Linked DNA regions of Coturnix japonica. The protein of the gene in region 1 interacts with the protein of each later gene in a biochemical or structural test. Links are inferred from orthologs where the notes say so. Each region holds a gene or a part of one and is shown on either strand. Other genes may lie near its edges.

Evidence for each region. The genes of interacting proteins can lie anywhere in the genome.
Region 2: the proteins of SLC9A3R2 (region 1) and SLC26A3 form a complex in vitro, tested with the Homo sapiens proteins (2 studies listed by BioGRID and IntAct, with this or other methods). The link is inferred for Coturnix japonica from reciprocal best matches to the Homo sapiens genes NHERF2 and SLC26A3.

Annotation. Positions count from the first base shown.
Region 1 is NC_029529.1:6,192,132-6,195,642, forward strand, and holds part of SLC9A3R2 (Na(+)/H(+) exchange regulatory cofactor NHE-RF2), read left to right. Parts: intron 1-1,779; coding exon 1,780-2,037; intron 2,038-3,511.
Region 2 is NC_029516.1:13,315,472-13,319,715, reverse strand, and holds the start of SLC26A3 (chloride anion exchanger), read left to right. Parts: upstream 1-1,433; 5' UTR 1,434-1,631; intron 1,632-4,244. UniProt on the Homo sapiens protein: Mediates chloride-bicarbonate exchange with a chloride bicarbonate stoichiometry of 2:1 in the intestinal epithelia. Plays a role in the chloride and bicarbonate homeostasis during sperm epididymal maturation and capacitation.

The DNA of each region.
Region 1 (3,511 bases):
TGCTGTGTTGGATCTGTGTGACTTTTCTCCTTGACAGTAGTGAGAACTACTGTGCTGCAATAGGGCCTGCGGGACCCAAACTGTAGGGCCTGAGAAGGAGGGAGGGATGTGCAGGACTCTGCCATTGCTTTTCCTGCATGCTTCCCCACATTGCTGCCCACCTGCAACCCCTGTTCCTGCACATCAGCTGTCTGTTCCCAGTTCCCTTCTGGAGGTGTGCCCTGGTACAGGTGCTGCTCTGACAGTGTCAGTGGCATCGCCTGGTGTTGCACAGAAATGGATCTGAGAAGGAGCAGATGGGTTTTCCAGGGTTTGGTGGAGCAGCACCCTGCAGGCAGGTTATGGGTAGGAACCCTCCTGGTGCAGGGTGGTGGGCATTGGTGCTTGCTGGGTTGGTTTGCTCGGCACACACAGCCATGTCTGCAATCTATAAATTTTGTCTTGGTGGTTTTTTATTTTTTTCATTTGCAGATACTGGCTCTGCTGACCTTGAATGGAGCTTGCAGGGGAGTAAATAAACGCTGGCTAATTGCACATTAGGCTCGTTTGTCACTTCTAACCTTGGCAGTTGCAGTATCTGGCTGGCCTGACCTAGATAGGGCAGGAGCTGTAAGGAACCCTGTGCTGCTTCAGGGTTTCCCCAGCACACATAGGGTGTCACAGGGCCATGAGTGCTGGCAGTGTCCCCCTGCAGCTGGGGAGAGTGGTAGAGCTGCATTGCCAGTGGTACTGTCTTCCTCTTTGGAATGAGGGCCTGTGCAGGCAGCAGGTGATGCCCTGTGGGATACCACCCTGAGGCTGCAGGCAGGGGGTTCTGGAGTCTTTTTCTGCCTTCTTCCCTCATATATCCACAGTTATTCCCTATTCCTACCCTGCCCTGCTGTGCTGGACTCATGTGCTTGCTTGACTGCCCTAGAGCTGAGCACAGCTCTCTACTTTCCCACGTGTGAGCTGCCCCGTGCTCCCCTTCCTCCCTGCTGGGCTGACACCGCCAGCTCCTTTCAGAGGATCTGCAGTCACACAAAAAAACGTGAAAAAGTGAGGCTGTGTGAGGACAATGGTCCCTTTCAGCCATGCCTGGAGCTGGAGACCAGCAGGGATGGGCTCATCTCCTGGTGCTGGTTTCCCTTATCTCTGCTGTCCTGTCACGCAGGGGGATGAATGCACGGATCAGATTGTTGCTTTTATAAATCTGCTTGGGAAGGGGGGAGGTGGGAGGGGGGAAAGTGTCCAAATGGGAAGAGTGCAGCAAAGGCAGTTGAGACATTGCATTTGTGCTCTGGTTCTTGGTGCAACCCAGCTTTCCACCTTGAGTTCTCAGCTCTGTCCCTGGGTGTGGGGGGAGAAAGAAGTCTCAGGTAAAGGGGTGAGGGTTTGCAGGGCTGTTTATGTGGTAGAACTGCATGTCCCTTGTGAGGGATGAAGCTAGGCAGCAGGATTCAGGATGTGTGTTGTGTGATGGAACAGCAGGCTTGCAAGTGGAGCAGAGGGGATGATGTCCACCTGTGTGTATGCAGCTGCCATGGGCAGATCCATCATTTAGGTGGTGTTGGAAGGAATTGTCACTGTCACCCATGGCTGCAGGCTGTGCTATCTTGAAGGATCCCAAATCTCTGCCCTCCTCCCCTGTTGCCTATAGAAACAGTAATGAATGTGCACCGTGCAGTGAAATGGAAGCTGCAGGAGAGCACCAATGGGCAGAGGGGTCTGGAGATACAGCTCTCCAAGAACTGGGGAGTCTCTGGGCTTCTGCTCACTACTTCTCCTTCTCCTTTGCAGGTGGTGCAGCGTATCAAGGCAGTGGAGACAGAGACCCGCCTGCTGGTGGTGGACAAGGAGACAGATGAGTACCTGTGCAGCCTGCGCCTGACATGCACAGAGGAGATGGCACACAGTGGGATCCTGCTGGGCTCCAACATCTCACCCTCCAAGTCAGTGGGCAGCGACAACGGGGAGGTGTGGAAACCACAGCTGGAGCTGAGCGCAGGCAGCCTGCAGCGGCACTCACACAGCTTCTCCTCACACGGCAGCAGGAAGGTGAGGGCAGAGCTGGTGGCACAGCGTGGGGTTGGACAGCAGGATGCATCCCATTGCAAATGTGCTTCCCGTTAGCAAACCTTCTGTATGTGGCTCTGGGCGTCTCAGTGTGTCCCAAAGCTGTGGGTGAGCTGCACAAGGCCTTGTTTGCTCTGTTGGAAGCAGTGTTGGCTGCTCCTGGAGGAGCTACAGAGAGCTGAGGTGGGCACCCAGCCCCCTGGGGACAACCAGGCTGCCCTGGCTGATGTCCTTGTCCCTTGTTTGGGGACAGGCAGCACAGGCTGTGGATGTGGTGGAGCTGGACTCCTTAACTCAGTCCATTTCTTCTGTGTTACTTCTAGGATGGAGGGAACAGCTGGGTTGAATGTGTTCTCAGCTTTTGCTGGAATAGGAAGGAAATAAGCTCTTTTTCAAGTGGTCTGAGTCTGGGCTGTGATTTTGCAGTAAGCGCCTTTTATTGGTAAACTCCTTTTCAGCAAGGAAAGAATTTGAGGTGGAAGATGTCCAGTTTCCATGGCTGGCTCTCTGCTGGGAGGGCGGTGATGGCACAGCCTTGCACGCACAGATAGGCAGCACTCAGCCCCGGCACTGTCCATGCATGGGATGTGAACGTGGCAGCCACCACCATGCAGCTGACTGTCCCCACTTTAATCACTGAGGGGGTGAATCCTGCAGCCCCGTGGTGCTGCTTATAACCAGGCTGTGCAAGGCTTTCCCTGCTTCCAAATCCAGCTTTAGCACTCGTTGTCCTCAGGAGCCCTTGTGGGGTAACAGCTCAAGCAATTTCTGCATGGGGATAATGTGTAGGGCAGAAAGCAGAGTTATGCATGGGGTTCTGCCTCTGACCCTCCCCCCCTCATATGGAGTTGCTTGTGTCAGGCAGAGCTGTGCTGGTCCAGGGGGCTGCCCTTTCTGGGGGTGCTGGAGGATGGGCTGTGGTATGAAGGTGTTCAGAGAGCTCTGGGTGGCAATGGAGGTCAGTGTTGTGCTGCTCATAACCTCCCAGGGTGGCTGGTGGGACAGGAGAAAGAAACTGGAGAGAGGGGGGCTGCAGTGCAAACAGCCGTGCATGGCTTCCCAGGCTGGGGGTTTCCTATCCTGTCTCTGTTCCTTTTGCTGGGTGAAATCCAACAGTTTGTGCTGACGGGAAGTTGGGCGCGGAGAACGGGCTGGTCCCTTCCGGCCTTTGGGTTTCGGCTCCTCCAAGGAGAGGGTGGGACAGGGAGAACTGAGAAGGCAGGGGGGTGCAGTGGGAGGGAGTGCTTGAACCCCCCTGCAGAGGGGCTGTGGGGTTGGTGAGGGTAAGTGCATGGAGCAACTGCTGTATTTGAGGCTGGTGGTGCCAGAACCCATGCTGGTATCCAGCCAATGCAGGTCCCAAACAGGACATAGTGACCCATAGGGGCTTTGCCTTGGGGAGAGCTCAGGACAGAGCTGTTCCAGATAGATTCCATCCATGGGAGCCATGACTACT
Region 2 (4,244 bases), on another chromosome or scaffold:
TGTACCTGCACTTTGGCAAGGAGAGAGGCCAAAAGCAGTTTAATCACTTTATGGTTTGAGCTGTTCTACATCTTTTCAAATGTTTGTGGTTTTAATGGCAAATATCATCTCTGTGTCAGCTTTACAAAGTGCAGCAAATACCTTAAGCCATGATGGCAGCTATTAAGAGCAGGGGCGTGCTGTCACAGAGAAGGAAGTCTGCTCTCCAGGAAATGACCTGGGATCTTTACTAACTGGAAAAGCTTATGGGCTTGGCTGAAAGTGCAGCACAAATTTCAGAAGAAGCTGGAGGCCTCAAAGAGCCTTCAGAAACCCAGAGCCATGTGGAAGAAGCCCGAATTGCACAGGCAGATGTAGCCTGCATCTTGCAGGGATGTGTGCTGAGCTTCTGCTCACTCCATCATTTCTTGGTTTAATCATTGACTGAAATGTGTACAAACCCCCTGAGATCAGCACCTCAGGCTCCTCCTGCTACTCCCTGTGTGCCTGGACATCCATTGGGAGCACATGGGGTGCCCTGCTCATACCATTCTCTTCACCAGGAGAGGAAATCTGTGCCTACAAGGCTAGAACAGGCTCTGTTCTCCAGACCAGAGGAGTGCCTTAAGGAGATGAGCACTATATGGCTGTCTCTGTATTCTAGGTATCAATGGCTGAAGGGTTTGTGATGGCATGACCTGAGGACTGTTTTCACCGGGAAACTTTGATGCTAAGGTTTGCTCAGCACATCAGCACAGGCATCAGCATCAGGGTTTGGTGATGTCCTGAAATCAGGTACCTGCTGCTGGAGTTGCATGCTGAGGCATCAGCATGTTATTCCAGCCCTCCGTCTCCTTAAGAGGTTTTAGGTATTTCAGAGGAGTGCTTGCTCAGCCTCAGCGGCCTCAGTTCCTCAGTCGGCAGTGAAAGGGGAGAAGGATCCTGCAGAGCAGCCCAGCTCAGCCCTCCTGTACCACACACATGTCACAAGATGCCACAGCTGCCACAGCTCTCAAAGCTGTCCCCTGGAAATCCCTGTCCTCACCTCTGGAAATCCCTGCCAAGACTATTCTGCAAAATGATCTGAGCATTCCACAATTGTTCCTGGAGAGACAATGATGAGAGTCTTGGAGATACCTGGGAGTAGAGCTCACAGGGCACACCTTGCCCAGAGCTGCCATGCCAGCAGCCCCATTTCCATACCACAGGTTGTGTTCTTTAGAAATGAAGCAGCTCTGACTTCTGGGCTCTGGTCGGCACCTCCCACTATGCCCAACAGAACCCTGGCAGATGCACAGCAGAGGATTGCAACAGAGTCCTTCTTACTCATCTCTATTTTCCTACATTAATCTCTGCAGTCCAATCAGAAGCAGTTCTCCAAACAAAGTTAAGCAATATCCCAGAGAACTTTAAGAAATGACTCTTATCATCCCTCCTGAGAGTAGACTCAATGGTCAAGGCCACAGTGAAATCTTACTTTTCTTGTAAAAGTTAACCGAAGTTAGTTATTAAAGTGCTGCCAGTATTTAGGGAAGCTCTGAAATGAAGAGCAGCACAAGATACCTGTGCTGCCTCTGAACAATTCAAGGATATCTTCCTCTGTACAATTACTGTGTGGTTTCTTCTGAAGAGGTTCATAGAAAACACATCAGGTAAGATTTTGGCTTGCCAATCAGGATATGGGATACATGAAGTAATGCTTATAAACAAAATGCTCCCAGCCAAATCGTGTACTTCTTGTAAGATGTGAGAGGTTCCCTTGTGGAATTTGTTCGTATGTTTCAAATGTTTATATTGTGGAGAAATAGATGTTATAAGTGTGTGTACAGAGACTGAAAAAGGGGGGGAAATTGTTAATATTTAATTGTTCTGCTGAAGTTACCAGATTTTTGTGTGCTACTTAGCCAATATTGAGGATAAATTAATAAAAGGGAGAAAGCACTTCTCAGCAATATGACATCAAAACGTGCATTTCCATTAGATCACAAATGCAGGAGCTCAGCAGGGGAGCTGGACTTAGTGTGAGAAATGGTAATGCCAGCAGTGAGCACGGGGTGGGAGGCTGTGTGGAATACAGCTGAACTAGAACCTTACTTATGGGTTTGCATTTGGATCTAGTCTGTCAGAGGGGAGTGAAAGTTGCTAGTCCGATAGCTGTGCAGCGTGAGCTTGGTGTGTGCCCCTTCTCTCCATGGCTGGATGGGCACACTACACAAGTCATCACAGAACTGCTCTGATTAGCATCTCCCACGCAAGTCCATGGGCTTAACGATGAGAGCACTCCAGAAAGGCAGTGGGAGACACTGAGCACACATCTCTCCTTTAGGGGATTTGCAGAGGATGGGATCCTTCACCACACTGCTACTTGTATATCCAGGATTTCCCAAAAACATCTCAAATAATAGTGCAGTCAGCCGTAAAGCTGCCCTTACGAAGGGTATCCTACCTTTCTGAACGTAGCTGTGAAGAAAATGAGAGTAAGGAAGAGGAAAGCAATACAGACTGAAATTAGGGTAGCTGAGAGCTTTGGCAGCCCAAGGAAAAAGAGAACAAGATGAGAAAAGCTGGAGGGCAGCCAGCAGCAGTGAGCACAGAACACAGCAGGTGGGTGCCCAAGGTCTCACCTGCCCTGCCTACTAACAGGTGAAAGGCACTGCCCAGCCTTGGGGTACCCTCAGGTTTGCTGGGCTAAATTCAGGATGGAGAATGCAATGTGGCATGACAATCTCCAGAGCAGACCCATGTACAAATCCTTCTGATGAGACCCTCCAGGCAATGATCCAGGAATCCTTTTGCACAGCTCAGCTAAACAGCCAAAGCCAGGAGGAGGGTCATTGAACTAGGGTTTCTATCAGGAAAGAAAGAAAGACACGCAAAATACTTACACCTTCAACAGGACAAGCATTGATGAAACAAAGGATATTTGGGGCAGAAGAACCAGTGTGAGGAAAGAATCGAGGCTGGGCAAAGGGCAGGGTGACAATCAAAGCAGTAACCCCCACACTTATTTTTCTGGCTCATAAGCATTTCAAAGGATCCAAATAGTACATCTTATACCCTCCAATGTAATGAACAAAGCTATTCAGCAAGTTCCTCTCTGCGATGTGAGGTCTGAAGGACTGATATGCAGACTGGGAAACAGAGCAGTCCTACAGTCTTTGACTGCCTAAATTTCTTCCTGAAAACCTACATACATTGAGGCTTACCAGAGGAAGAACAAAATGAAGCAAGTTTTTCATTTCAGTGTCATCTGCCTCTGGTTTTGGCACCAAGCAGAGGGAAGGATGATAGTACACAGCTGTAGGGTCAGGATGGGATTTCTCTGGCCAGTCTTAAAAGGCAGGATCAGATGGGAAACATGTTAAACTCATTGCCTAAATATGGAATCTTTATGAGGAAAAATAGCATATCCACAGAAGACAGCACGTATGAGACATTATTTGGGCTTCTTGATATCCACAAATTTCCCCAGAATTAACTAAGAGGAAATTAAAACTGAGTTTTCCTGTGGTAGAACAGTAACAAGCCCTGAGCTCAAGCAAAGCAGTGAGCTGCAGGGTGAGATTCACATTTTAATGCAAAAATCGTCACAAGATAAACAGTTTTCCACCTGCTCATAGCAACACACACCATCTTGTGCTACTTGGAGTGAGTCCTGTGACACGTCCAGACATTGTGTCCACAGAAGTAGATGTACACGTAGGCTGCATCAGTGCAGTTTAGTCACCACACCTGGGTGAGGAAAGGGTGCCCCATTTGAGGCTACCAGCAAGCAGCAAGGCAAGATGGAGCTTTTGTCCTAGGGGAGAGAAAACAGGAATGCTCTGCTGTCAGTGTCATGAGATGGCCAAGAGCAAGTCCTGTTGCTCCTGCCTAGGACTGCTACTGCGTTAAATATTTCATGGTGACTATGGTGGAGTTAAATGTTTTTAGGTGACTTTATTATGGGAAGAACGTGAGGCACTGAGGGAAACATAACTGAGCACTGTGGGCAGCACAGTGACAGAGCCCACTGACTGCAACCAACCTCCCATCTCCGCAAGTGCAACGTAGGAGTCAGAGTCATTACTGGAGCACAAACACACCGAAGTGGGCTGGAACAAAGCAGAAGGTAATAGTTAGGTCTGACACTGTAAGAGCTGTTTGTGAGCATGAGGCAGAAGCACAGGGCAGCTGAGGCTGGCAGGGCCCTCTGGCCCATGCAGGGACACCCAGAGCAGGGTGCCCAGGGTCAACAGTGGAGAAGCAGTCCAGACTACCTGTGG